Cricetulus griseus: one gene and its partners. The protein of the gene in region 1 interacts with the protein of each later gene in a biochemical or structural test. Links are inferred from orthologs where the notes say so. Each region holds a gene or a part of one and is shown in the gene's direction. Other genes may lie near its edges.

The links.
Region 2: the proteins of Tbp (region 1) and Btaf1 form a complex in vitro, tested with the Homo sapiens proteins (2 studies listed by BioGRID). The link is inferred for Cricetulus griseus from reciprocal best matches to the Homo sapiens genes TBP and BTAF1.
Region 3: the proteins of Tbp (region 1) and Gtf2a1 form a complex in vitro, tested with the Homo sapiens proteins (7 studies listed by BioGRID and IntAct, with this or other methods). The link is inferred for Cricetulus griseus from reciprocal best matches to the Homo sapiens genes TBP and GTF2A1.
Region 4: the proteins of Tbp (region 1) and Msx1 form a complex in vitro, tested with the Homo sapiens proteins (2 studies listed by BioGRID). The link is inferred for Cricetulus griseus from reciprocal best matches to the Homo sapiens genes TBP and MSX1.
Region 5: the proteins of Tbp (region 1) and Gtf2f1 form a complex in vitro, tested with the Homo sapiens proteins (3 studies listed by BioGRID, with this or other methods). The link is inferred for Cricetulus griseus from reciprocal best matches to the Homo sapiens genes TBP and GTF2F1.
Region 6: the proteins of Tbp (region 1) and Gtf2e2 form a complex in vitro, tested with the Homo sapiens proteins (2 studies listed by BioGRID). The link is inferred for Cricetulus griseus from reciprocal best matches to the Homo sapiens genes TBP and GTF2E2.
Region 7: the proteins of Tbp (region 1) and Brf1 form a complex in vitro, tested with the Homo sapiens proteins (2 studies listed by BioGRID). The link is inferred for Cricetulus griseus from reciprocal best matches to the Homo sapiens genes TBP and BRF1.

What each region holds. Positions count from the first base shown.
Region 1 is NC_048595.1:294,452,157-294,456,133, forward strand, and holds part of Tbp (TATA-box-binding protein), read left to right. Parts: intron 1-14; coding exon 15-106; intron 107-1,277; coding exon 1,278-1,445; intron 1,446-2,596; coding exon 2,597-2,691; intron 2,692-3,347; coding exon of another isoform or gene 3,348-3,427; exon of another isoform or gene 3,428-3,977. UniProt on the Homo sapiens protein: The TFIID basal transcription factor complex plays a major role in the initiation of RNA polymerase II (Pol II)-dependent transcription.
Region 2 is NC_048596.1:24,798,540-24,802,516, reverse strand, and holds part of Btaf1 (TATA-binding protein-associated factor 172), read left to right. Parts: intron 1-666; coding exon 667-816; intron 817-1,103; coding exon 1,104-1,246; intron 1,247-1,971; coding exon 1,972-2,146; intron 2,147-3,588; coding exon 3,589-3,792; intron 3,793-3,977. UniProt on the Homo sapiens protein: Regulates transcription in association with TATA binding protein (TBP). Removes TBP from the TATA box in an ATP-dependent manner.
Region 3 is NC_048598.1:113,326,766-113,330,742, forward strand, and holds part of Gtf2a1 (transcription initiation factor IIA subunit 1), read left to right. Parts: intron 1-1,024; exon of another isoform or gene 1,025-1,167; intron 1,168-1,958; coding exon 1,959-2,026; intron 2,027-3,582; coding exon 3,583-3,658; intron 3,659-3,977. UniProt on the Homo sapiens protein: TFIIA is a component of the transcription machinery of RNA polymerase II and plays an important role in transcriptional activation. TFIIA in a complex with TBP mediates transcriptional activity.
Region 4 is NW_023276807.1:106,760,775-106,765,236, reverse strand, and holds the start of Msx1 (homeobox protein MSX-1), read left to right. Parts: upstream 1-1,239; 5' UTR 1,240-1,480; coding exon 1,481-1,949; intron 1,950-2,055; exon of another isoform or gene 2,056-2,379; intron 2,380-4,225; coding exon 4,226-4,462. UniProt on the Homo sapiens protein: Acts as a transcriptional repressor. Capable of transcription autoinactivation.
Region 5 is NC_048598.1:96,546,202-96,550,618, forward strand, and holds the start of Gtf2f1 (general transcription factor IIF subunit 1), read left to right. Parts: upstream 1-1,569; 5' UTR 1,570-1,834; coding exon 1,835-1,846; intron 1,847-1,931; exon of another isoform or gene 1,932-1,937; coding exon 1,938-1,984; intron 1,985-3,300; coding exon 3,301-3,373; intron 3,374-4,417. Other genes in the region: adenylate kinase isoenzyme 1-like, read right to left, coding at 251-450, 1,156-1,216. UniProt on the Homo sapiens protein: TFIIF is a general transcription initiation factor that binds to RNA polymerase II and helps to recruit it to the initiation complex in collaboration with TFIIB. It promotes transcription elongation.
Region 6 is NW_023276807.1:51,043,037-51,046,271, reverse strand, and holds part of Gtf2e2 (transcription initiation factor IIE subunit beta), read left to right. Parts: intron 1-2,726; coding exon 2,727-2,842; intron 2,843-3,235. UniProt on the Homo sapiens protein: Recruits TFIIH to the initiation complex and stimulates the RNA polymerase II C-terminal domain kinase and DNA-dependent ATPase activities of TFIIH. Both TFIIH and TFIIE are required for promoter clearance by RNA polymerase.
Region 7 is NC_048598.1:181,046,510-181,050,982, forward strand, and holds the start of Brf1 (transcription factor IIIB 90 kDa subunit), read left to right. Parts: upstream 1-1,607; 5' UTR 1,608-1,654; coding exon 1,655-1,838; intron 1,839-4,473.

The sequences.
Region 1 (3,977 bases):
TTCTGACCATTTAGCGGTTTGCTGCTGTCATCATGAGAATAAGAGAGCCAAGGACAACTGCGCTGATTTTCAGTTCTGGGAAAATGGTGTGCACAGGAGCCAAGAGGTACTGTACTCTTAAGGGATTCTTTGTTTCTGGTGGATGTATTATCAAAGAAAAGGGATATATCATCATTTCTATTATCAGGCTAGCACTTTTGTTTGTTTGTCTGTTTTGAGACAGGGTTTTTCTCTGTAGCCCTGGCTGTCCTGGAATTTACTCTGTAGACCAGGCTGGTTTAGAACTCACAAAATTCTGCTTGCTTCTGTCTCCTTAGTGCTGAAATTAAAGCAGTGCACCACCACCGCCCTGCTGGATTAGCATGTTTTTTTCAAATGCTTGGAACCAAACATATATATATTATTCTTATTTCCTGTACATTTGTGTTTTGCCTACATGTACGTCTGTGTGAAGGTGCTGGGTCCCCTGAAACTAGAAATACAGACAGGTGTGAGCTGCCATGTGGGTGCTGAGAATTGAACCCAGGTCCTCTGGAAGAGCAGCCACAGCTCTTTACTACTGGGCCATCTCTCCAGCCCTGGACTAACACTTTCAATGTGTTATCTTTAATGGTTTATCCTAATCACTTTGAATAGCATCAATGCCCACTTCTCATTTTTGTTACCCCTGATTTCCTGTACTTTAGTATTTGCATCCTACTTTTGTGGTGAAAGCTAAGTTGGAAAGTCAGTTCCATCCAATAATGTTGTCCTAAGAGTGGATGGAGATCTGATGTAAAGGAAGATAGAATTTATGTATTTGTCAGTAGTAAATTTTACTAGTCTTTTCAGTTTTTTGTTGTTGTTGTTGTTTTGTTTTTCAAAAATGGGTTTCTCTGTGTATCCCTGGAACTTGCTCTGTATACCAGGCTGGCCTCAAGATACACCTGCCTCTGTCTCCCAAGTGGTAGGATTAAATCTGTGTGTTCCACCATCCGGCTTTAGTATTTTTTTTTTTATATATAAAAATGAGGTTTCCATCTCAGTAGATATTTGTGGGTCAGAATGTAGTAAAAGCAATGATCATAATTGAATCACATGCTACATCACATCCTTTAAACCTAGAGCTTGTCGGTAATCTGGCAAATCCAAGGCTGATGTTTTGGTAGATTATCCTTTCTGTTAAGGTCACAGGGATAGTTTAATTAGTTTTCTAATTTAGACTCCATTTAAGTTATTCTTCTGAATTACTCCATTAGGCTTCTGTACATACTCACTGTTTTTTCTTTTTTCTTTAGTGAAGAACAATCCAGACTAGCAGCAAGAAAATACGCTAGAGTTGTGCAGAAGTTGGGCTTTCCAGCTAAGTTCTTAGACTTCAAGATCCAAAACATGGTGGGGAGCTGTGATGTGAAGTTCCCCATAAGGCTGGAAGGCCTTGTGCTGACCCACCAGCAGTTCAGCAGGTAGGTCTGAGAGATATTGGGATTAGTGTTAGCAACAATCCATTTACTATCTACTCAGGCATCATTCAGGGTGAAGTACATGTAAGACATTCTGTTTCTAAGCTTATGATGTAGTTGCAAGTTGAGTGTGCTCCATGTAAACATAAGGTATCTCTGCAATTGTGCTACTGCACTTTTTGCTGCCCTCTTTCACTCAGTGACCGACACCCAAACTCCTTCCCTGGAGCGACTCAGATCACTTCTGTATGCCTTATCATTTTGTTAGTCAGTAAATCCATTTACATAAATAAATTTGTAGTTTCTTCTACCATTTTTCTCCTAGTTTGAATCTTTTTTGTCAACACACCAGCAAAGTATACAAATGAGCAAGCAGGGATGTGCTGTCCTTTATTATTCCTTTCCATTTTCTTCTCACCCTTACCTCGGTTATTTGTTTTCTATTTGCGGCCACATCAGCTCACCAGCCCCCTCACACTTACCCTAATCCTCTTGCTTCAGGGCCTTTACACATGGTACTTTTATACCTGGCACATTAGGTTCAGTTTTTAACATAGAAATTCCTTTTTGAGTTTCAGATAGTCAGTGTTGCTCCTTTTCATATAAACCTGTCCCAAAAGAGTTTTTTTCCAGGTTACACATAAGACACACAGGTCCTTTTATCAGATTAAACAAACCTGAAATCACTAGGTTAGAATTTCATTAATGTCAGTTCAGGTAGATGATGTGATCAGGGAGTAGGTTCATTTCCAAGCTCATGGTTTGTCACTCTGGTTAAGTCACCCTGTTAGAGTATTTCTATTCAGGAAGGTGATGTATGATTACAAGGTTGACTGCCACTATCAACTCTTAAGAGTGCATGGTGAGATTAAGCTGCTATCCCTAGACTTGCCCAAAATGAACCTAATGAGGGTCAGAGAATGTGAGTATACAGTCTTGTTTTTATCATAGAAAATCTAGATTCTGTGAGGACAGCATAGAAAGCCATATCCATGCCATTTGGCTCTTGCTTGGTGAAAGTGTTTCCTTCTTGTGTGTCCTATTTGTGGACACCTGGCTTGTTCACTCAGTACTTCCTGACACAAGGCCTCATTGTGTTTACACACAAAAAAAAAACTGGTGATTCCTAAACTGTTTTCCCATTTTCTTTCTAGCTATGAGCCAGAATTATTTCCTGGATTAATCTACAGAATGATCAAACCCAGGATTGTTCTCCTTATTTTTGTTTCTGGAAAAGTTGTATTAACAGGTAAGTTAAAGGGATAGAGTACCAAACTTGGAAAGAATTTAGGATGGGATTTCTGTGTTGGGACAACTGCCTAGCCACTTGTAAGGAAGATTTTGTTTACATTTTGCTTCCCATCCTTCATGAGAAAGGGGGAAGAGTGAAAACACTAGAGTTCTGCTACAGTTGTAGCCTGCGGCTAGACTATGTTTGACTGTGGCAGCAGGCAAGGAGGAAACACGAATACTAGGAGGGTGGGGGGTATTGCCTTGCTTGCTGACTTGTGGATCCTGGCCTGCGACCAACTGGTGAGGAAATGCTGGTCTAGAGTTAAAAGTCTTTAAACGCTAAGAAAATAATGTTTTAAAAACAAAAGCTGGAGAGCGGGGCATGGCCCTTAATCCTAGTACTCAGCAGGCAGAGGCAGGCTAGCCTGGTCTACACAGCAAGTTCCAGGACAGCCAGGGCTATACAGAGAAACCCTGTCTCTTAAAAAAGAAAAAAGGAAGGCTAGGATTATGACAAAGGGCCTCCACCATTTATTTTAATACCATTTGTTTGTCTTAACTGGGTATGGAGAGAACTGTATTTGTGGCTTTGTTTTAAGGTAATGATGTTACTTTCTATTTTAAGAAATGTTACTTAAACCATCTCGTTTCTATTCCAATGTGTCTTTGTAGGTGCTAAAGTTAGAGCAGAAATTTATGAAGCATTTGAAAACATCTACCCCATCTTAAAGGGATTCAGGAAGACCACATAGTGGCTGCCATGTCCTGCCTCCCCTACCCACTTGTTTTTTAAAACCCGTCAGTTTTGGTACCGCTCATGGTACAGTTGTGAGAAGGACACTCAGTTACAGGTGGCAGCATGAAGTGACACCGTGTGTCCCACTGCAGGACACTGAAAGGTTACCTCCTCTGCAGTGAGATCGATTGCCCTGCAGCATTACTGTGAGTCGCTTGCTCTGTGCTGCTACTTGGGCAGCACTGCCCATTTATTTATATTTAGATTTTAAACACTGCTGTTGATGAGTTTGTTGGTTTAAGGGACAGAACTTTTAAGTGTTCAAGCCACCTGTACAATTGGACTTTTTATTTTAACTTTTCCCACATAAGCCAGTTTTTATATTTCTACCAGAAAAGTAAAAATCTTTTTTTAAAAGTGTTGTTTTCTAGTTTCTAACTCTTAGGAGTTATTTTTGTGCCAGATACATTCCACCTTCCCAGTATTGCAGAACTCTAAATAGTTGTATTAATCAAAACAAATGTACATACTTTTCTTTCTTTGGAGTACTCTGCACAAAAAAATGC
Region 2 (3,977 bases), on another chromosome or scaffold:
CAGAGATCTACCCGCCTCTGCCTCCTGAGTGCTGAGATTAAAAGAATGTGCCACCAATGCCTGACTCCTATAGTCCTTTTTTAAAACTTTATTTCCTGGGCTGGAGATTGGCTCAGTGATTGAGAGCTTTTGTTGCTGCAGAAAACCTGGATTTGATTCCCAGCACCCACATTATAGCTTATAATCATCTGTAACTCCAATTCCAGGGGATATGATACTTTCTTCTGACCTTCATAGGCATTGGTCACACATGTGGTACATATACATACATGCAGACAAAGCACACATAAATACATGAAAATTAAAAAAAACCATAACTGATAGTTTGGTTGTGGGTATGTAGGACAGAGGACAGCTTTTTAGGAGTTGGTTCTCTCCTTTCACTTGTAGGTTCTGGAAATCAATCTTAGATTGTCAAGCTTGGTAGCCCGTGCCTTTACTCACTGAGCAATCTTATGTCCCCCATGTTCTTGAAAAACAACAAAACCACAAACTTTCCTTTGCATTATTTCATGTAGTATAGAAACCTATCAATCTAACCAGTGTTTCAAAGTGAACCTCTATGTTGACTTTTCAGGTGAATCTCTTTACTGTATCATATTCCCTCCAGTTCATTTCCCTAAAAGTATATTTCAAATTTTGTTTATTCTCCTTTTCTCTCCCTAGGTTTGGATGGAACTGTTGAGCAAGGCTTCAGTTCAGTATGTGGTAGCAGCTGCTTGCCCATGGATGGGTGCTTGGCTTTGCTTAATGATGCAGCCTTCTCATTTACCTATTGATTTAAATATGTTGCTAGAAGTAAAATCAAAAGCCAAGGTAAGTATAGAGAAACCTAAGTTATTTCTATGTTAAATTCATTATTACCAATATAGTAACTGTTTGAGAAAGTTGTATTTATTGCTTAATTCTGAGGGTGTCGTCATTAACATTAGGCAGGATCAATTCTTTATCCAGATTCTGGCAAACTGGATAGTAATTATTACAAACTGGATAGTAATTTAGAATTTTATGAAAAGAACTACATTTTACTGGCTTTGTTTTTTCCAACTAAATTTAATTGATTAATCTTTAATTATTGGTTTTCCTTCCTGTTTTTCCTCTAGGAAAAAACAGGTGGTAAGGTACGGCAAGGTCAAATTCAGAATAAAGAAGTGCTTCAGGAGTATATTGCAGGTGCAGACACCATCATGGAAGACTCAGCTACCAGGGATTTTGTAGTTATGAGGGCCAGGATGATGGCAGCTAAGTGAGTATTCATTTATCAAGTGTCAAGTATATATTGAAAATTTTGGCTAATAGCTATAAAATTGAACCAAAATATTTTCCCCCATGTCTGTCAGTTGTTCTTTACACTAGTTATCTAAGAAAAAAGCAAGTAAATATTTTTAAGTTTTTGAAGTTTTAAAAATAGATGGCTGGGTGGTGCCACACACCTTTAATCCCAGCACTCAGGAGACAGAGGTAAGTGGATCTCTGTGAGTTCCAGGCTAGCTTGGCCTACAAGAGAGTTCCAGGACAGCCAGGGCTGTTACACAGAGAAACCCTGTCTTCTAAATAATAATAATAATAATAATAATTCTCTGGATTTAAACAAAATTATTATTATTATTATTATTATTATTATTTGGAGTTGGAGGTGTGGTTCAGTTAGTAGAATTTTTTTGTAGCATACACAAATCTCTGGATTTGACCCCAGACACAACAAATAGACAGTGTGGTGATGTGCATCCACAGTGTCACTTGAGAGAAAGGGTGATCAGGAGTTCAAAGTCATCCTCAGTGACAGAGAGTTGAGGGCCAACCTGGCATATGTTAGACCCTGTGTCAAAAACAAAACAAACTCCTCCATGTCTATTCATGAAAATAAGGTAGAAGATAATTTAACGTTTTTATGGGGAAAATTTAATGGATTTAGTAAGAGAAGTTTTCCCTCAAGTAAATTTTATAGTACGGCCTTTTTCTCTCTTTTAGGTTGTTAGGAGCACTTTGCTGCTGTATTTGTGATCCAAGTGTAAACATGGTAAACCAAGAAATTAAACCAGCAGAATCCCTTGGCCAGTTACTACTATTTCATTTGAACTCCAAATCTGCGTTACAGAGAATTAGTGTTGCATTAGTAATCTGTGAATGGGCTGCTTTACAAAAGGTAAGATATATTCCTAAAGTAATAAAGGCAACTTTAGTAAAACCAACTTCCATTAGTATTTAGGACTATTTATAACTTATAGTTTCTTTATAGAAATCTAATAGTTATGGGAAAGTATTTCATATAATATTGAACATGATTTGTTTTCCATTTACTTTTAACTTTTTTTTTTTTTAGCACCCCATTCATATCTGAGACTAAGTTGTGCTCATATTTAGTATCTGTTCATCCCTACAGTCTGTTACAAAGCTCCTTGTTAAAGTCTTGTTTGTATAGAAAGATGCAAGCCAAAGCCTGAATGTGTAATTCAGTTGGTCATTGTTTTCAGGCAGCACATTTTCAATGCTTTGTAATTTTGGAGCTCTATTTATATGGATAGTGACAAAGGTAGAAGTTTTGGTCACAAGAAAAAGATTTCCACATTTAAACTCAAATTTTCATTTCCAAATGAGCCAAATTCCCTTCTATCCTTTTTAACTTTAAATTTCTGTAAGATGTATCATTTTGTTTAAACTTGTTTCTGTAAATCAAAGAAACTTCCTGCTGGTTTTGTTTATTCCATTGACTGGAATTCTGGAAATTTAACTGTCTGCACTTGCTGTGAGAGTTGCTTGTTACTGCCTCTTAGCAGTTTGTCAAAGCTTTGTCTAAAAGTCATTGAGCCATGCTTTACTGCAATTGAGACCCCACTTTGCCTCTGGAAAGAAGCAAAGCTTAATCTGTTTTGTTGTCAGGACCCCATGTGCTGGAGAGGCAGTGATGCTGTGTTTTTGTGCCTCTCAGACTCAGCAGCAAGTGTTGACAGTTCGGTTTCTGGACCCTCACAGAGCTTCTCTGGATTTACTCTGTGAAGCCCAGGCTGATCACCCAGATCCCACAGAACCCCTCATGGCTACCACTGAGGCCATTCCCCCTCTTGTTGGGGCAGGCAACAACCAGAGAGAGTGGGAAGGGTTAGTTAAATTTGGGGGCAGGTAAGTAGCTTTTAAATTATATCCATTTTTACAATACAGCATGTGAAGCTGTGGTTGAACTGTTAAAGATCTCTAATACCAAATTTTGAATAATATTTTTAGTGCATGCCAGATTGATTCCTGACTGGTTTTTATAGTAATATACTTCTAAAATGTCTGCTTTGTTTATCTATTTATTTATTTATATGCATACATATATTGAATAAATTCAGAGTACACTAAGAATAATTAGGTTGAAAATTAAATGCAATTATAATACTTAAATGTGCATGTCTGTAGTCATTCACATTAAAATTTCAAAGTAGTTTTGATGTAATACTTTTGTGTAACTAACTATTTTGGAAGATAACAGACTATAGATTGAAAATCAGTGCAATGTAGCATTTGGTTGTCTGAAGTCAGTATTTTAAACATCTCTACCATTATGTTTCTATATGTTCCTGAGTCTTGATATCTATTGTATTTTAGGAGTGTAAAGCTGTTACCCTAGCTGTGCAGCCACGTTTACTTGATATCCTTTCAGAACATTTGTATTATGATGAAATTGCTGTTCCATTCACACGAATGCAGAATGAATGTAAACAGTTTATATCATCATTAGCTGATGCAAATATTGAAGTGGGTAATAGAATAAACAACAATGTTTTAACAATAGATCAAGCTAATGATCTGGTGAGTAAAGAAGTAACTTTCTTAACTTTACATGAAATAAAGATTAGAAATTTGCCATGATGTGTCACCCCAGAAGCATACTAATATGTTGAATCTTTTTGTGGTATGGTTTCCTGTCATCCTGCTCTTTAGAAAGGTTATTTCATTGTACTGAATTTCTTGAAATTAGAGGACAGAGAACTAGT
Region 3 (3,977 bases), on another chromosome or scaffold:
GGAGAAACAAAGAATCCATCATATATAGCTTTTTTTTTTTTTTTTAATATGACGAAAGTCTATCCAGTTACAAAATTTTCTCAGTATTGTACTTAGATGAATCTTGACTGGAAAGGAAACAGGATAAATGAAAGCTTAGTTTAAGGTATCACTGTTAGGTAACTCATTTGCTTCATCTCAGTATGTGAAATACAGAATGAATACGTAGTAGAACAGCCTATATGATTTGGCTTAATGTTTATAGGTTTTGAATATCTTTTTTTTTTTTTTTTTTTTTTTTTTTTTTTTTTTTTAGAATTAATTTAGTGTTTGTGAGGGAGTGGGAAACCATGGTACACATGTGGAAGTCAGAGGACAACTGGCAGGAGTCTGTTCTCTCCTTCTACCGTGTGGGTTCCAAGTATGGAACTCTTGTCTTTAGGCTTGGGGGCAAGTGACTTTGCCTGCTGAGCCATCTCTCCAACTCTTTTTATTTTTTTAAATTTAATTTTTACAAAATTATAATTTCACTTGTCAATCCCTTCTCCCTCTCCCTTCCCTCCCCCCAACCCCTCACCAGTCCCCTCCTTGCTCCCCCCTCTGCTCCCCATGGAGGGTAGGGCCCTCCACTTGGGGCTCCCCAGATTCCACAACATCATCCTGGGCCGGGCCTAGGCCCTCCCCCATGTGTCTAGTCCAAGAGAGCATCCCTTCACGTGGGATGGGTTCTCAAAGTCCCTTCTTACACCAGGGAAAAATACTGATCCACTACCAGAGGCCCCATAGAGTACCGAGGTATCCTCATTGACATCAAGTTTCAGGGTTTTGGATCAGTCCTGTGATGGCCTCCCAGACAGTAGTCTGGGATCCATGTGCTCCCTCTTGTTCAGGCCAGCTGTTTCTGTGGGATTCACCAGCCTGGTCCTGACCCCTTTACTCATCATTCCTCCCTCTCTGCAACTGGGTTCCAGAGTTCAGTTCAGTGTATAGTTGTCTCACCAACTCTTAATACCTATGCTAAGTCTGTACCACATAATCACATCCTTGATGACTGTTCCTCCTATTGCCTTTAGGCATGGCACTAGGATTTTAGGTCATCATAAATTAAAATTGATTTTTTTCACTCAGAGGATATCAAGGTAATGGGATTACCTGTGTATTCTCTGAAATTTGCGGGATCAAACAACTCTATTCTTTGACTGACATTGACATTGTTTCTGAATTGTGTGTGTGATGCCTGTGTGTGCACACACAGATGTAGTTGCTCACATACTATGGTGCATTCATGGAAGTCAGAGGACAACTTCCGGTGTTGATCCTTCTTTCCATTTGTTTGAGACAGGGTCTCTGTTGCTTTTCCTCTACTATATACACCTAGCTAGCTGTTCTGCTGTCTCATTGTCCTTGTAGCTCCCCATATGCTGTCCAGAGCATTGGTGCTATAGTGCCCTTGCTGTGTGGCTGTCTGGCTTTTACCTGCGTTCTGGGGATTCAGACTCAGGTCCCCATGCTTGTACAGCAAGCACTTACACCCATTGATTTCTATTTTTTAAATAGCTAATTAAAGTGCCACGATTGTGGTAGCTGTCAAGTTGGTCAAAGGATGTTGTAGGGTTTTTTTTGTTTGTTTTTAGACAGTGTCTCACTAGGAAGATCACGCTGGCCTTGAACTCAGAGATGCACCTACCTATTTCCTGAGTGTGTTAGAATTAAAGGCATGTACTACCATGCCTGGCCTAGGTATTGTCATTTTAATGTTTTTCAATATAAAATGAATATATCTCAGCTGTTGATTTCCATAGAAAAATTTAAAAACTTCTGAAATAGAAAATAGTCTGAGAGTATTTTAATGTAGAAACACAACAGAAGCATGAAAAAAGTAAAAAGTGTTTGGCATTTTATAGTATTACTGTGACTGTGAAGTGTCCTCATGGTTCCTTGTTTACAAATATCTTTTTTTTTTCTTTGTCTATTTGTAGCTACGGCACCACAAGTTATTGTTCCTGATTCTAAGTTGATACAACATATGAATGCATCAAGTATTACGGTAAGACTTGAACATGACACTTACATTGGCTTCAGTTATTTAACTTAAAAATTGCAATTATTCCTATGTGTATTGTATTTAACAGTTTGAGGATTATGGAAGATTTGAGCAAAATAGCTGTTAGCCACAAATCTAAAGTGTAGCTTAATCTTAAACATTAAAGTTCATACAATTATGTAATTTTTTCCTTAATACCAAATACTCTTTGTGGTCAATACTTTATAGCTGTAGGGAATCAGCCAAGCATATACTGACACCTTCTGTTTCAGAAAGTTAGTTAGTTGTAAGAGGAGGGGAATGCTAACAATCCAGGAAAGCCATTTTTTTTTTAAATTTTATTAGTTATTTGAAAATTTCATATGTATTTTATTTATATTCACCCCCCTACTCCAACTCTTCCCAGATCCACCCCTTATCTTTTACCTGCCAACCCAAGTTTGTGTCTTCTGTTTTGTTTCTCTAAACCATCAAATCCAGCTGTGTTGCCCATGCACACACAGCATGTGGCTTTTCAAGGACACTGTTTCTAAAGTTTCATGTTTAAAAGAATCTTTGCTCTGACTTAAACATAATGCACAGTTTGTTTTCCTGTAATCTCTAAATTCATACCTTAAAATGCAAAACAAGACTAAGCAGGTTGGTATGCACTTGTGATCCCCAGTACTCAGGAGACAGAGGCAGGAGACTGACTTGATGTTGAAGACCAGCCTGTCTGGGCAGTAAGTTACAGACTAGAGAGACATACAGACATACAAGACTGCACTCAGAAAAAGAAAAGAAAAAGCCGACGAGTTACTAAAATGCGAAATTATATCCAGGATTTGTATCAATGTATGCAGGAAAAATACCATCAATAGACCTTTGGGTTCACATATACAAGGTAGAGAGTGTGTGTGTGTGCGAGTGCGCATGCACGCATATACACACAAGTATTTTAAATCCGGGGAAAATATCTGATGTTTGAGATAGTTCTGAAACTTTTGGATAAGAAACACTCATCTCATTACATATTTTACCTAGATTGTTGTGTCAGTGTGTTCATGCTCCTTTTAGATAATGTGGCATCTTAGAAAAATTGCCAGTTATAGAAACCAAGGAATTCTTCAGATTGTCTTTTAGGGGGAGACCTGTTGATTTTGGGAGAAATGTAAAAATGAAGAAACAAGGATGGCTTGACTTTGGCCTTAAGTATATTATTGAAGCAGGAAATTGGGTGTAAGGAACCAAACAGTGGAAGGATGGCAGTCATGGAATGGTGTCCTCACGGTACAACTTTACTGTGAGTGCATGTATTTCTAAAAACATACTGAGTCTGTGAGAGCTTGAATCAGGAGGTTGCTTAGAGTAAGTTCTTTAGGGGAGCCAGACCATTAGACTTACAATTTCTTGAAAGACTTGAATAGGTTATTTAGGCTCTCTTGCCACATGAGCGCACCCTGTTGTTCGAGTGCCTTTCAGTCAGTTCTCCATGCGCTGTAAAGTACACTACAGATAAACTGAGGTCTACTTGGCGCGCACTCGTAGATACGACTTTCCCTTTGTTTTTCTTCTTGCAGAGTGCTGCTGCTACGGCTGCCACCTTGGCCCTCCCTGCAGGCGTGACTCCCGTTCAGCAGATACTAACAAATTCAGGTAATCAGAACAAGGAAAGCGGCTTAAATATTGTTCAGAAACTAACACCAAGTAGCTCTTAATGTTTTATTGTCACTGAAGGGAGGCAGTACTGACGCTTGTTAAGATCATTTGAGGGCTATAGGATATAGAATTGTAGTCTTTGTTGAGGGTATAATTGAAAAAATCAAAGTTGTAGCCAGGTGTGTGGTAGCACACATAATCGCAGCAGTTGGGATTTGGAGGCGGGATCAGATGTTCAATGCCATCCTAGGTTTCATAATGAGTTTGAGCCCAACTGAAACCCTGATTCAAAAAAGAAAAAAAAAGGTGTTGGTGG
Region 4 (4,462 bases), on another chromosome or scaffold:
GGGAATTCGCTATCCCTCCGTGCTCGGATAATTACCCCTAAATGGCCACGGCAGCCCCTTGTGTTTCCTGGAGATTAGAGCCCCGCAGTCATCAATGCCCAGTCCCAGTGAGCCGCCAATCACCTCCTCCAACTCCCCCGGAGCCGCGGGCCTGGGCCCTGGGATAAGACAGGCCATAAAAGAAAGCAATCCCCTCCCGCCCCCGTCCGAACCCAGTTTACATAGCTCTTCTGTGCCCCTCAACAACTTTCCTCCTTCTTATATCAGCAAAAATAAACCTTCGAAATTAGGCAAACAAAAGTTTTTAAGCCTCGCACCAAAGTTACGATGCCAGGAACTGCTTCCTTCCTCCAGCCCCTTCTTCACATGGCCTCTGCTCTCTTCAACAACGTAGACCCAGCGTTAGAAAAGTATTAGGTTTTTGAGGACTCATTGTCTGAGGTCACGCTGAGGCCAGATCGGTGTTTTGTTGTTGTTTCCAATTCTCCACCCAAGGGTTCCAAGGGCTCCTTTGGCCAGCAGTTCTCTAGTAGAGGTGTAACTTTCTGGAGAAAAGTAAGGGAAGGGGGTACATGTTTGTATGAAAACCAAGCGCATTTCCCAGATTATGTTACATGTTCTTGCACCCACAGAACCAATAGGGCCCAGGCTTCCTTTGAAAAACTTGTTCAGCCTCTAGAAACAAAGGTCCACTTTTACCCCGAGGTAAACTTTTTAAGATTGAAATACACAAGACATTTAGGGTTTTTTTTTTTAAGAAAGAAATTATTATTATTCCTTTTCTACTCTGACAAATAAGTATGATCATTCAAAACAAATATGAGAAGAATTTGTAAGTGAACTGAAGTAAAAACCTTCGTGGTAGAAAAAGGGGGCCGAAGAGGGAAGGGGGCCAGAAAGAAATAGCGACAGCGAAAGAAAGTAGGCTATGAAGGGGAAAGGAAGAAGTGGGTAAGGGGCAGTGAAGGACGACTAGGGAAGAAGAGAAGAGCTAATGAAGGAAAGTCCCTCTGGAACTCGGTAGTATCCAAGTCTAGGGGGACTCAGCCAGGCAGATGCCCACCAGGCTAAATCGGGCGGAAAGGCTCCCCAGGTACCTTCAGCTCTCTTCAGCCCAGAGCGCCCCCAGGCCGGGCGCGCCTCGGGACAGGAGCGCGGCCCAATGGTTCTCTCCGGGCCCGCCCCCTCGCGCGCTGATTGGTCGCTGCCGCGCTGGCCTTGCCTTATTAACAAGTTCTCAGGGGAGCGGCGGCGGACCCGGAGCCGGCGAGTGCGCCCGGGAACTCGGCCTGCGCGGCGCAGTGATCCAGGCCTAGCTCGCCCCAGCCGGCCTTTGGGAGAGCCGCGGGAGGCTCTCGAGGGAGGGCCGACCGGGCCAGGGTCCCGGGAACTCGCAGAAGCCGGCCGCGCTCCCAGCCCGCCCGAAACCAATGCTCCAGGGCTGGCCCGAGCTGCGGCTGGAGTGGGGGTCCGGCTCTGCATGGCCCCGGCTGCAGCTATGACTTCTTTGCCACTCGGTGTCAAAGTGGAGGACTCCGCCTTTGGCAAGCCTGCAGGGGGAGGCGCTGTCCAGGCCCCCAGCGCTGCTGTGGCCACGGCGACCGCCATGGGCACAGATGAGGAGGGGGCCAAGCCCAAAGTGCCGGCTTCGCTACTGCCCTTCAGCGTGGAGGCCCTCATGGCTGATCACAGGAAGCCCGGGGCTAAGGAGAGCGTCTTGGTGGCCTCCGAGGGGGCTCAGGCAGCGGGTGGCTCGTTGCAGCACTTGGGCACTAGGCCCGGGTCGCTGGGCGCCCCGGACCCGCCCTCCTCGCCCCGGCCTCTCGGCCATTTCTCAGTCGGGGGACTCCTCAAGCTACCAGAAGATGCTCTGGTGAAGGCCGAGAGCCCCGAGAAGTCAGACCGGACCCCATGGATGCAGAGTCCCCGCTTCTCCCCGCCCCCAACCAGTAAGTAGCCAGCCTAGAACAGAGAGCGAAGGGGCCAGAAGGGGGTGTGGGGCCCGAGGGCGCCAGGCCGCGCGCCGGCGCCGGCTTGTCTCGGGCGTCGGCGTACCTGCATCTGGGTACCTGGAGGCCATGAAGAGGTTGCGTTGGCGGGGAGGAGGCCTTTTGAGCCTCTTCTCACTCCCACCCAGGAAGAGAGTTAGAGGCTTCGAGCTGGCAAACCCCTCAGTCCGTTTTCGTGGGCTCCTTGCCTTGGCACAGTGCCCCTGAGTGTGTCAGTTCATTTGTAGCGCGCGGGTGTTTGTACACCCTCTTATCCTTCCTGTACTTAGGACACGGAGGGTTTCCTGCTCCTCCACCTGACCCTAAACACAGTTATTTTGCACCCTACTTAGATGGGCCCAGCGGCCAGTACATCTTCTCTCTGCGGAGTTTCACTTTCTGGTAGTAGCACCTCTCCAGGGATTCCGGAGCTCTGCAAAACTCCTCCCCTACCCATCAAGTTATGAACAGTTACTTGGTGTGCTGGGCCAGTGGATGATGTAGCAAGAGGGACAATCGTGAACAAGTGTGTGTGTGTGTGGGGGGGAGCAACACGACAGCCAAAGGAGCGCCCCATTTATCGCTTTGCTAGCTTCGGAACGTGTTGGACCTGGCTTTCAAAGCCGACCCAGCAGCCAGCGACGTGTTACAGGATAGTCCTAAATCCTCGTGGCCCTCAGGCGTCTTTACCCAGCGAACCCGCTTGAAGATATTTCAGGAGCACGGGAAATTCCCAAGTTTTCCTCGTTTCCTCCGATTATTTCGTACCACATAATAGCATTGCAAATTCAATGGCGTGATGCTGAGGAACGATTTTTATCTGGGGATTAAACGTCTTTGAAAAGACAGCCCCTCCCTGGGCCTAACAGTTGGTGAAGGTGGCCCAGAGCTGGGCTATTGATGCTGACCAAAGTGACATTTCCCTATGAACCCTCCCTTCTCTTGGCGGCCTGGCAGAAAACGAGTCTGGGGCCAACTTCTTTCCGGACTTGCCTTAGCCCGAGCTGGGGAAGAAGGGGAGATGTTAACTGGAAATTTCGTTTGACTCACATCCTAGTGGTCTGAAGACCCAAAGGGTTATTTTTTTTTTAAGTGCCAAGAAATGCATAGTTAGGCAAAACCCGCATGGTGAGACATCCTCAATTTCAATTCGCTTTCTTAAAGGAAAAACTGCTGCAGAGGCAATGCATCCTCCTGGAGACTTAGGAATTTGGTTTAGAACTTCAGCCTCTAGGACCCCAAGTCAAGGCAATCCCTAAGTGTGTGTATGTTGTGTGTGTTGTTGTGGTGGTGGTGGTGATGTGTGTGTGTATATGTGTGCAGGTTTGTTTTATCCTGCAACAGTGTTGTCAGGCATAGCAGAGGTGATGGAGGATTGAAACCCAGTCCCCTAACTGGGCCTGCCCTCCAAACAGTGGCAGCACTCAGCTGAGATTTAACCTTTACTGGGAAAACTGAAAGAAAAGATTAGTGGGCATCACCAGTCACTGGAAACTGAGCTATGTTGGAGAAGCTATCACATCCCCCACACTAGGCTTGCTGTGGTCCAAGAATCCTGGCGCTGAGTTTAGGAGACTGTTAGGGAAAACTGAGAGCAGCACATCTACATGATATGTCCTCATATAAGAATTGTCACAGTATGACCTCTTGGATGGCTCTTTTCTTTCGATTGTCCCTAGAGCCCAGTAGAAGCATGCTGTTTGATAGAAAGTGTGGAATTTCAAGATCCATTCTAGGGTTGGAGAGATGGCTCAGCAGTTATGAGCACTGACTGCTCTTTCAGAGAACCTGGGTTCAAACCCCAGGCACCCACATGGCTGTTCACAACTGTCTGTAATTCCAGTTCTAGGGGACCAAACACCCATAGCAAAACATCAATTCATATAAAATAAAAATAAGTATTTTTTAAAAAAAGTAGTTCTATGCAGTGGCCTACCTCCAATGCAGTACATTTGGTGGACACAAATACAAATGTATAACTAAGGTATAAAACCCAGTATGGCCTTAGGTTGGCCTAAGGGCCTCTGAATGTTTTATGGCCCCCTTAGCATTCATCTTCCTCTGTACAGTGGCCCAGAAGAGGCCCAGGGAGGGGAAGTCCTGACTTTAAGGTAGGTTGGCACTTTTGCAAGTGCTCCTTAGTGCCTAGCATAGATGTGCTTGGGCGAAATCAGTGCCTAGAGTGGTTTCTGTTCTTTAGTAATACACTCTTAACTCCTTGCCTTTTTCTTCTCCCGGTCCCCTAGGGAGACTGAGTCCCCCAGCCTGCACCCTACGCAAGCACAAGACCAACCGCAAGCCGAGAACGCCCTTCACCACCGCGCAACTGCTGGCTTTGGAGCGCAAGTTCCGCCAGAAGCAGTATCTGTCCATCGCTGAGCGTGCCGAGTTCTCCAGCTCGCTCAGCCTCACCGAGACGCAGGTGAAGATCTGGTTCCAGAACCGCCGCGCCAAGGCCAAAAGACTTCAGGAGG
Region 5 (4,417 bases), on another chromosome or scaffold:
AGCCCTCAGAGCATAGAAGAGGGCATCAGGTCCCCTGGAACCAGAGTTACCGACAGTTGTGAGCCAGCATGTGGGTACTGGGAACCAAACCCAGGTCCTGGGCCAAAGTAGCAGGTGCCTTTAACTGCTCCCACATCACAGTCTTCTCATGACAGTGTCGGTATGACAAGGCAGTGCCTGGGCCAGGACACCCTGGCTTCCTGGGGACTGACTCTGTGTTGTCTTGCCCCCCTCTCCCTTTAACTCTCACCGTGGGCACCAGGAGTCCCTGCTGCATGATGTCCCGGATCTGCTGACCCCGCCGGGTGCACCTCTGAGCCTCCTCCCGCAGCAGCTGGCCCAGCCCCACGTGGCAGAAACCGTACTTGGTGGCCATGTTTCTGCACTGTGTCCCTTTCCCGCAGCCAGGGCCGCCCACCACGAAGATGATCAGGGGAGACTTCAGGACATCTGTAGTGTTCATGGAAGACAGTGGGTACTAGTGCGTGTCTTCAGGGTGCCCTGGTCTCGAATCGAAGGATCCCAGTGCTGGGATTCTCTTGAGCCATTTGCACAGACCTCCTTGGAGCACCCTTGTAATTCCATCACCCCATTTTACAGATAATGAAAGGGAGAGGCCCTCAAACTCACGCAGCCGCACCCTGCTCAGTCCAGCATGCGGTGGTCCTGTCTAACCTACCTGCTTACGTCTACAGTCACACCTCCCCCCGTGCTGGGGTCAAGCGTCCCAGCTTGTCCTCCCCCTGCCTCAGACCCCCCTCCCCCCATGCATTCCATAGTCAGCCATGGTTCTTTCTCTCTTTCGGCTCGCTTTGGTCCTCCTAGCCAGCCTCTGTAACCCAGGGTGCATGGCCCTTGATGGTGAAGAAATGAATGTCTCTGCTACCAACCGTGGAAGTCAGTAGCCGTTTATGGTTCAAGGTTTGTGCCTGCCTTGTCCCTCTGCTTAACCAACTCCTATGCATCCCTCAGGCCCCCGTTCTCTGAGCCCTTCCTCTAGAGCTGTAATTCCGCAGGCATCCACCACTGGGGGGGAGAGGGCATGCGCAGCTGCGTTCTTGCCGCGTTAGTGTGAGCACACCCGCACGGTGGGTGGGATACCTGCTCCCACGCCCCGTCCGCCACCCGCGTAAGCCAACCACCCCACCACGTTACCCTTCTCCTGGGTCCTCAAAGTTCTGCCCACCTGGGGCAGCGTGGACTGGCACAGACCCATGTTGCCCGCATGCCGGAGTACGCGGGGGCCGGGTTCCCACCTGCCCCGACCCCTTGGCTCCGCTCGACGTCACAAGGGGCTCATTTTTGCAAGATGCCCGGAATTCCCCCCGGCACCCGGGGCACAGAAAACGGAATCCCAGCCCCCCGCCCCCCCCCCCGGAGCCCCAAGAGTCCTCTCGCGGAGCCGGCCGCGGTTGCTATGGCAACGCGGCCTCCGCACCCGCCACTGGCACGTTGGCGCATGCGCAGGAGTGCCGAGGACGCACTCGCCAGAAGACGCCACTCCCACCCTGCCCAGGATGCACCGCGGTGCCTGAGCCGTGACGTCACGAGGGGCGTGCCCACGCGCCGTGAATAAATCACTCGCGCTGGCGGCGAGAGCGCTAGTCAGAGGCTGGAGACCGCCTGAGCTAGGTGAGTGCTGAGGTAGCTCCCACCCCGGTGTGGCAGTTCTAGTTCCGGGTCAGAGTCACGTCTTCTTGAGACTTAAGGGTTTGGAGACACAAAACACAGGATCATACCAACGTAACTCCCGGGCAAGTTGCCTTCCCCGGGACCGAGGGATACCACGAAGAGCATCGGATCACGCCGCCCCGGAACCGCTTGAGCAACGGCCATGGCGACTCTAGTGAGTATGAATGAAACGGAGAGGCGGGGTGGGGGTGGCAGGACAGATCCACGGCCTCTCCTCGCCTCACAAACCCGTGCTTCCTCTGCAGAGCCCCGGCAGCCAGAACGTCACCGAGTATGTCGTCCGAGTCCCCAAGTAAGTCACCCACACCCACCACACGCTCCTCGGCCCGGTGGTGGCTCCGTGCAAGTCACAGTAACAGTCACACCGTAGTTAATGTCAGGCTCGATGACTCTGTCCTATTTTCAGACGCTCAGGCCACACACGGTGGCTGCGTTTAATCCGGGAGACAGAGGGAGGTGGATCTCTGGGAGTTTGAAGCCAGCCTGGAAGCCAGAGCGCGTTCCAGGACAGCCAGGGCTACACAGAGAAACCCTGTCTCGAAAAAAAAAAAAATTCCCAAACTTAGATGAATGCGAGGCCAAGTAGTCCACCATTAAGCCATACCCAGCCCTCTCTTATTTTGAAGACCAGTCTTACTGTGTAATGTAGTTCTAGCTGATTTGACCAGGCTGGCCTTAAACCTACCAAGACCCTCACACACCTCCGCCTCTTGCCTGCTTGATCTCCTCTTTTTCCCAAGACAGGGTTTCTCTGTATTTCTTTGGAGTCTGTCCTGGAACTTGCTCTGTAGACCAGGCTGGCCTCAAACTCACAGAGATCTGCATGCCTCTGCTCCCCCCTCTCCCTCAGGTGCTGGGATTAAAGGCACTTGCCACCACTGCCTGGTGGCCCACTTTTTCTTTTATTATCTTTATGTGTAAGAATGTTTTGTCTGAGTCGGGTGTTGATGGCACACGCCTTTGATCCCAGCACTCAGGAGGCAGAGGCAGGCGGATCTCTGTGAGTTCGAGGCCAGCCTGGTCTCCAGAGCTAGTGCCAGGATAGGCTCCAAAGCTACAAAGAGAAACCCTGTCTCAAAAAAAAAAAATGTTTTGTCTGCATGTATAGTTATGCACTGTGAGCATGCTGGGGCTTCTGGGTGTGGCTAACTTCTGATAGGGTTGGAGGAGATGGATCCATTTTATTTTATTTATTTATTTATTTATTTATTTTTGATCTAGCTTCTTAAACAAACTCTGGAGCAGTGGTTCTCATCCTGTGGGTTGTAACCCCTTAGGTTCAAATGACCCTTTCACAGGGTCTAAGACCATTGGACCATTGGTCTAATTAGACCAATGGTCTAAGCCTAAGACCATTAGAAAACACAGATATTTACATTATGATTCATAACAGTAGCAAAATTAGGAAGTAGTAACGAAAATAATTGTGTGGTTGGGGATCACCCCAACATGAGGAACTGTTTTAAAGGGTGCAGCTTTAGGAAGGTTGAAAACCACTGCTCTGGAGCTTTTATGAGTTCCCAGAATTACCTACAACCAAGGGGTGTAATCATGGTGGATTTTTTGAATGACTAATCAGTAGACTGAATTTTCTCTTGCCCATTCCAGGAACACAACCAAAAAGTACAACATAATGGCTTTTAATGCAGCTGATAAAGTCAACTTTGCTACCTGGAACCAGGTAAGTCTATAATTCTGGGTGGCTGGGGCAGAGGCCTAACTGGGTGGTGGTTACAGTCATCACTTTCTTGAAGTGGTGGCGGCTACACTTACAACCCTGGCAGATGTGTGGTTCCAACCATTTGGAGGTGTGGTCTGACTACATAAATCCTGTCTCAAAAAAAAGCAAGCCTGGGTTGTGGCTGGTTAATGGAGCATCAACTAGCATATAGCAGGCCAAGTAGGACCCCATGTGTGCTGGACTTGGTAGCACGTGTCTATCATCCCAACACAGGCATGCGGTATAGGTTCTTAAATTGAAGACTATCCTTGGCTATGAAGTGAGCTCAAGTGAAGACTAGGATACCTGGACCATGCTTTAACAAAGACAAAGTATGGCGGGCGCTGGTGGCACACACACTTTTAATCCTAATCCCAGCACTAGGTGTCAGAGGCAGGTGGATCTCTGTGAGTTTGAGGCCAGCCTGGTCTACAGGGAAACCCTGTCTTGAAAAACCAAAAAATAAATAAGGAAATTTTAAAGGCCAAAGTTTTAAACTGTCCACTATTCTGGGTGCCATGTTAAAATGCTATATCTCCATATTGTCTGGTTGCATCTGAGCTATCCCCTGGTGGACACCGCCTGTCTCTGTGGTCTTTCTAAGGGCCCCATTCCCTGGAGTCCCTTTTGTGTGTGACATTTCGTGTGTGCACATGCACTTGTGGGCATGTGGTGCATCTCAGGGCCAGAGGTTGACAACAGGTGTCTTCTTTAGTTACTTTGCACATTATTATTTGGATGACATATGTTAGGCCACAGATGAGTGTGGGACACAATTTGGAGATCAGAGAACAGCTTTCAGGGGTCAGTTTTCACCTGCCTGGGTCTTGAAGTCTAAGGCTTCGCAGGCAACACTCTCTCACAGACTTTCCTCATGAGTTTCTGAGTCAGGGTATCCCACTGAACCTGGGCTTGCTGACCAGTGAGTTCCAGGTACCCTCCTGTCTGTTCCTGCCTGCTGGGGCCTCAGATGCATGTGGCATTGCCCAGCTTTGTTCCTGGGTA
Region 6 (3,235 bases), on another chromosome or scaffold:
AAAATTTCCTCCTACTTGGTCAGTGATTTTGTTTTTGTTTTTGTTTTTTGACACAGGGTTTCTCTGTGTAGCTTTGGAGCCTATCCTGGCACTCACTCTGGAGACCAGGCTGGCCTCTAACTCACAGAGATCCTCCTGCCTCTGCCTCCCGAGTGCTGAGATTGAAGGTGTGCGGCATCAATGCCCGGCAAGAAAAATGTTTTATTTAAAAACTTGCTGGCCATGGTTGATGCCCGTAATTCCAGCACAGGGGAGGTGGAGGAAGGAGGATTGACAGCTTTAGTAAAAATGAACAGGACCAGGGCTGGAGAGATGGCTCAGAGATTAAGAACACTAGTTGGTCTTCCAGAGGTCCTGAGTTCAATTCCCAGCAACCACAAAGTAGCTCACAGCCATCTGTAATGAGATCAGGTGCCCTCTTCTGTCTGGCCTTCCAGGATACATGTAGGCAGAACACTGTATACATAATAAATTAAAAGAAAAAAAAAAGAGAGAGCTCTTAAAAACTGTGTGTGTCTGTGTCTCTGTCTGTCTTTAATCCATGTTGAGTTGACTATTACCTATGGTATGAGATAACCTGCCTTCCTTTTCTACTTGTAGATTCAAGTAGATTTTTCTGGTACACTTTATACTTTTTGCCTACATGTATATCTGCATACACTTCTCTGCCTGGTGCCCACACAAGCCAGAAAAGGGCTTTTTCCTGAAACTAGAGTAAAGAGATGGTTGTGAACCACCATATGGGTACTGAGGAAGCCAACCTGACTCCTGGAAGAGCAGCAGTTACTTTTAACTGCTGAGCCATCTCTCTAGCAACCCTTATATTTCCTTCTCCCATTTTCTGTTTTTACAGACTGTTTCACATATTGAAAACTAACTAAGCTTGGCGATGGTAGTGCACACCTTTAATTCCATCATTCAGAGGCAGAGGCAGATGGATCTGAGTTCAATGCCAATTTGGTCTACAGAGCTAGTTCAGGACAGTCAGGGACACACACACAGAAACCCTGTCTTGGGGCAGAGGGGAAGAAAGAAAAGAAAAGCCAACTGAGATATTTATTTTAACTCATGTTAAGTTAGTCCTTTCTATATTCTCTTTTGTAGGTTGTTTCTGTGTTTTTGTGCTGCCTTGATTACTATAACTGTGATGTAGTTTGTGGTCATGTTGCCCGCAGCTGTTACTCTTAGTTTGAGATTGTATCCCAGTCTTTTGTTAAGTGTCACAGATTGAGTGAGTTATACAGAAAAGAGGTGTATTTGGGGGCCTTCTTCCTGGTAGAGTTCAGGAGTGTGTTGAAGGTGTGGTAATATACCAAACAGTAGCTGAACTGGCTGTATGAACTCTGACCCTTGAGATAATGCATTAGTTAGTATGCATGGATTCACATGGGTACAGCCTTAGTCACCATTTGTTTTGTAATAAAAGTTGAAAAAAAATATCTTTTTTTATGTGCATGGGTATTTCGCTTGCATGTATTTCTGTGCACTGCATGTGAGTGAGCAAGGCCATGGAAGCCAGAAGAGGACATCTGAACCCCTAGAATTTGAGTTATAGAAGGTTGTAAGCCACCATGTGCATATTGGGGATCAAATCATGGGTTCCCCGCAAGAATAGTCTTAGCCACTGAGCTGTCATATAGCTTGCAGATGAAGTGTGTGGTTAATGAACTGGCAAGGAAGGAAGAGGCATGTTGGTGTAGGGGTTGGCATAGTTGTCTGGTCTGCAGCCTCTGAGCTGTGGTAAACAGGAAGCTTTGTGAACCACCTCAGTGTTTGGGAGCCACCCTTTCTCAGTTCCCAGAGTACACACTGTAAGACTTGGCCATCACTCTGTGTGTGTGTGTGTGTGTGTGTGTGTGTGTGTGTGTGTGTGTGTGTGTGTGTGTAAGGAAAGGCTGACAAGGCTCTTAATGAGCTTGGTTATTAAAGCTGTCTTTAGGAGAAGAATTTAAAGTGCAAAGGATTTTTGTATTCGTGCGTGTCAAATACATGAATGACATGGAGGCTAGACACCCATCTTTCTACTTTGTTTCATATGCGTATTTCTCAGCCCACCCCAGCTGTTTTGCTTTGGTTTTCCTTTTTGTGACTTACCAGTTCCTTGGTTAGTAGATTTAAAAAAAAGAAAAAAAATGTAAGCAAACAAGCATGTCACCTTCATATAAAGCTTTGGTGCCCCGTCTCCCCAAATGCTTCTAACTCTCAGTACAGAGGTGGAATACATTGCGCTCAGGGCCTTGAACCAGTATTTGAATAATTTGTGCCACAGGGAGGGAGCTGATTTGGGAAGAGTGTTAATTGCTTCTCTTCCCATGGAATATAGGAGAAGCTTCAGCCACACCATCCTTCTCTTACTGTTTCTGAAGAATAGAGCACACTGGTGGCTGTCCAGCTGCATTTCAGATCAGAGACCCCTTCTGTTGCTGTGTCCAGCACTGGAATAGTCTTGCCTTCCCTCCCCTCGTTCTTTTTTTGAGACTGTATCTCACTATGTATCCTGTCTGCCTTGAATTTGCTGCTACCCTGGCTGTCCTTGAATTCACAGAGGTCAGCCTGCTCTGCCTCCTGACTGCTACAATTATAGGTATTTGTTTGTTTGTTTGTTTTTTTAGTGAAATCTCAGTTGTATGGATTTAGGCCCGATAATATTCAAAGTGAATTTAGATCACAAGATACAGTGGTTTATAAAAATCCATGATAAAGTAACTACTGTCTTGTTGGTTTAGAATTCCAGAAACTGTGGAGGAGCGTCACTGTGGATTCAATGGATGAGGAGAAAATTGAAGACTATCTCAAGCGACAGGGTATTTCTTCTATGCAGGAATCTGGACCAAAGAAAGTGGTATGTCATCTTTATAAAAGCAGTTTCGTCACTTCTTCACTGCTTCTCCTCTTCCTCTGACAAGTGAGGAAGGGATTCCCTCTACTAGGTTTTCTCGGAGCCTAATGCATTCATTGACTTGCCAGATACAGCTGGGCATATCTGATGTATTGAGGCCAGTGAACCATCCATGGTGATGTCCCAGCTTGGGAGAGCGAGCTTTCTTTCTTTCTTTCTTTCTTTCTTTCTTTCTTTCTTTCTTTCTTTCTTTCTTTCTTTCTTTCTTTCTGGTTTTCGAGACAGGGTTTCTCTGTGGCTTTGGAGGCTGTCCTGGAACGAACTGTTGTAGACCAGGCTGGTCTCAAACTCACAGAGATCCGCCTGCCTCTGCCTTCTGAGTGCTGGGATTAAAGG
Region 7 (4,473 bases), on another chromosome or scaffold:
TCTCTACATCCTGGACCTTCTGAAACATTCAGTGACAAGCTGTGAATTCCTGGGCTGGTTGGAATTTTTTGGGGTGATAAGCAGCACTTCAGATCTTTTAAATCTCTCACCTGCCATTTCAAGTTTAAAAAAATTACTGTGTGTATGGTGTTGGGAAGCGTACGTACACACGGGTTGAGGTAAAAGGAAACTTTGTGGGGTCAATTATCTCCATCCACTTTTACCTGAGTTCCTGGGATCGAACTCAGACAGTCAGACTTGCTAGGCAACCACCTTTCCTTGCTGAGCCATCTCACAAACCCTTTCTTTGCCATGTTTCAAGGAGAGCTCTTCCAAGTTCTTTTAAAAATCCTGCTGAAGCAAGCCGATGGTGGCGAGTTCCAGGACTGTCTGGGCTGTTACACAGAGAAACCCTGTCTCGAAAAGCAAACAATTCTGTTGATACTTCAGTTGGGATTATTACACTGGCTTTGCAAGCTTATGAGGAGTTGCCACATTTACAATGTTTCCTCTTACCCGGGGAAGGGCAATTTCTAATTCAATCTGAGCTGCTGTGACGTTTTGCAGCCTAACTTTGGAGTTTCCTACCTCTGGGGGAGGATTTTGGCAAGTTTAGCACAAGATTTGCTAAACCTCCCAAGGACGGCTGGATAGTGAGCCGCCCCGGCAGATCCTGAGGGCCGTGCATGGGCTCCACTCCGCAAGAGCTCACCACCCTCCCCAAGCCAGTGGTTTCCAGGAAACAGGGAGTGAAAAGTCAGGCTGAGGGGACCCAGGGCTCACCCTAGCCAGGTGCAGCTGGTCTGAGAGCTCTCCTGGGCCCTCTCACAACTTGGCTGGCACGCAGTTCTTTCTTGGTCCAGCCTTAGGGCGTGCTTACTCCCCGGGCTCCTCCCACAGGCCACTGTCCCAACCAACGCAGGTCCCACCACGACCCTGGGCCGGACCTTGGACGCTCTCCAGCACCGCCTACAATCCGTTCCCAGGGCTTTGTTTCCAGAAGCCCCTTCTCCCTCCGCCTGCTCTCCGTAGCTCCGCCCACGCCTCGCTCCTGGGTCTCGGCCCCGCCTCTAGCACCGCCCACACCCCTGGGAACTCTTCCCAGACTCCGCCCACAGCCCCAGTCCGGGCCCCGTCACGCTAAGCCCCGCCCCTGGCCCAACCCTGGCTCCTCCCACAGTCCGTGTCGACCCAGGCTCCGCCCACACCTCTGGGGACTCTTCCCAGACTCCGCCCACAGCCCCAACCGGGCCCGGTCGCGCTAAGCCCCGCCCTGTCCCCGCCCACAGCCCCGGCTCCGCCCACGGCCCTTGTCCCCTCCGCGGGCCCGTAGCTCGCGAGGCCTGCTCCTCCGGGTTTGGAGCGTCCCTTCAGGCAGGCGGGCCGGCGGAGTGATGGCGGTTCGGTCCCGGCGTCGCGGCGAAGACGCGTCCTGAGTTCCCTTCTGGGTCCCGCGGCGCGGCCGTTGGCGGCGGCGCGGCCCGGGCGCGCGTGGCGAATCGGCCACGACGAATCGGCAGGCGTGGCGCCGGCGGCATCGCGAGAGTGCGGCTCGGACGGAGGCGGCGCGCCGGGCGCTGGCGGGCTGAGGGCCGCGGCGGAGAGCGGGCGGCGGAGCGGCGGGGGGCCGGCGGGGCCCCGCGGCGGCGCCACCATGACGGGCCGCGTCTGCCGCGGCTGCGGCGGCACCGACATCGAGTTGGACGCGGCGCGCGGCGACGCGGTGTGCACGGGCTGCGGCTCGGTGCTCGAGGACAACATCATCGTGTCCGAGGTGCAGTTCGTGGAGAACAGCGGCGGCGGCTCGTCGGCGGTCGGCCAGTTCGTGTCGCTGGACGGTGGGTCCCGGGCGAGCGGGCGGCGGGCGGGCGGCGGGAAACTGAGGCCGCTCCCCCGCGCTCCCCGGCCGTGCGCGCTGACAGGTGCGCACTGCCCGCTGCTCTGCCCGGCCCCGGCGCTTGATTGCGCGGTCTGCTGACCGTTGCGTGCCGAGAGGCCGCGGAGTTTCCACTTGCAAGTCCCTCTTTGTACGTTACTCACCCCGACCGCATGAAACGCTCCAGTCCGTCGTGTGTTTGTGCGTGTGTGCGTGTGCGCGCGTGTGTGTGCGTGTGCGTGTGCGCGCGTGTGCGTGTGCGTGCCTGTGTGCGTGTGTGATGAATCTAAAATGTTGTTGCTTGAGTCACCACATTTTTGTCTTCTGAAAGTAGTTGCTCACGCTTTAACGTCGCTCTGTTTGTGTTTTCTGTGCCTGGGGCTCTCACCCAGGACCTCTGGCGAGCCGATCCTATGCCGGGGAAGCCCGTGCCACAGCTAGAGTTAGGTTTTGTGGGGAATGATGATGTGCAGGCTGCGGCCTCTCTCTCGCGTGCGGAGGTCGTTTTCCACGGTTTGCTAAGACTGTACCTTCAGCAGAGATCACCGTAGACACCATGTGTGTCTGCTTTGGGCTCTTGTTTTGTGCGCATCCCTACGCTCTGTTTACACTTTCATGCCTTGGGATCGGATGATGTGAGTCACCCAGCTTTTGCTTCCTTTTTAGAATGGGAGATTTGTAGTCAGTTTCCCTCTTGTTGTAGTGTAAGTGTGTGTGTGTGTGTGTGTATGCATATGTGCGTGTGTATGTATGTATATATATGTGCGTGTGTATATATGTATGTATATGTGTGTATGTGTGTATGCATGCATATATATGTATATATGTGTATATGTGTATACGTGTGTATGCATGTATATATGTATGTATATATGTGCTGTATGCATGTATACATGTATGTATATGTACGTGTGTATACATGTATATATGCATATTTATGTGTATCTGTGTGTATATATGTACGTGTGTATGCATGTATATATGTACCTACATGTGTATGTACGTGTGTGTGCATGTGTATATGTATGTATATATATATGTGTATAAATGTATGTACGCGCGTATGCATGTATATATGTATGTGTATCTGTGTGTATATATGTATGTACGTGTGTGTGCATGTATATATGTATGTGTATATGTGTATATATGTATGTACGCGTGTGTGCATGTGTATATGTATGTGTATATGTGTATATATGTATGTACGAGTGTGTGCATGTGTATATGTATGTGTATCTGTGTGTATATATGTATGTACGTGTGTGTGCATGTATATATGTATGTGTATATGTGTATATATGTATGTACGCGTGTGTGCATGTGTATATGTATGTGTATCTGTGTGTATATATGTATGTACGTGTGTGTGCATGTGTATATGCATATTTATGTGTATCTGTGTGTATGGCTCTGGGGCTGGAACCCAGGCTTGCTCACACTAAGCAAGTGCTCTGCTATTGAGTTATATTCCTAGTGTTTTTTGTCATTTTATTTTGAGTCAGGGTTTGCCAAGTTGTCCAGGCAGGCATTGAACTTGCAGTCCTGCTTCTGCCTTGTAAGTATGGGGATTATGAGGCTGTACTACAAGGCCTAACTTCTTTTTGTTGTTGTTTTTTTTTGAGACAATGTGTCCCTATGTAGATTGCCTGGCCTCAAACTTTGAGCCTGCCTCTGCCTCCCAAGTGCTGGGATTACAAGCATGCACCACCAGGCCCTGTGTGGCTAATTTCTGTAGGCGGCAGGGGCAGGGTGCGTGTAGGGTCTGCATGCATGCATGTATGGGTGCATGAGTGAGGAGACACAAAGTTGGCATCAGATTCTTGCTTGATAATTCTACACTATTTATTAGGGCAAGGTCTCTTGCTGAACTGGCTACTTTCTCAACCTCTCTCAGACTCCCAAGTACTGGGGTTATAGATGGCTACCACACCTGACCAGCTTTTATGTGAGTTCTGGTGCTCTGAACTTCAGTCAGGCTTGCACAGCATTTAATTCCCTGAACCGCTCCCTAGCCCCTCTGGCAAATTCTTGAATCTCCTCCGAGTTCCAGAGGTAAACTCACTTAGTGTATTTTCTGTTGAACATGCCTGAAGTTTTTTTTCTTTTTTTTTTTTTTTTTATGTTTGTCAAGATAGGGTCTCTCTGTGTGTAGTCCTGGCTGTTCTGGTGCTCACTCTGTAGACCAGGCTGACTTTGAACTCATGGAGACCAGCCTCCCTCTGCCTCCCAACTGCTCGGCTATGCTTAGGGATTTTAATCTGTTTACTTGGAATATTAGTCCGTAGTTTAACACCTGTCAGCCTTAGATGTCAAAGTAACACACTCCTGAAGCAAATGAGCAATGTCCCACTCACTTTCTGGAAGGGATTGTGTGTAAACAGTGCACTCTGCTCTTTTTTCCTTTCTTAGTTTTACTGTGTAACTTAGGCTGACCTCAAACTCACGATGTTCCTGCCTCTCAGTCTTCTACCTAGCAAAGATACAGAGGTGTGCCTACCACTTCTTGGTCCTGTCTTACTTAAATATGAGGTGTACTTCTCCAATGTATCCATTTGGACTTGAGGTTTTGTTTTCAGCTTTTGTCATAGCAGTGG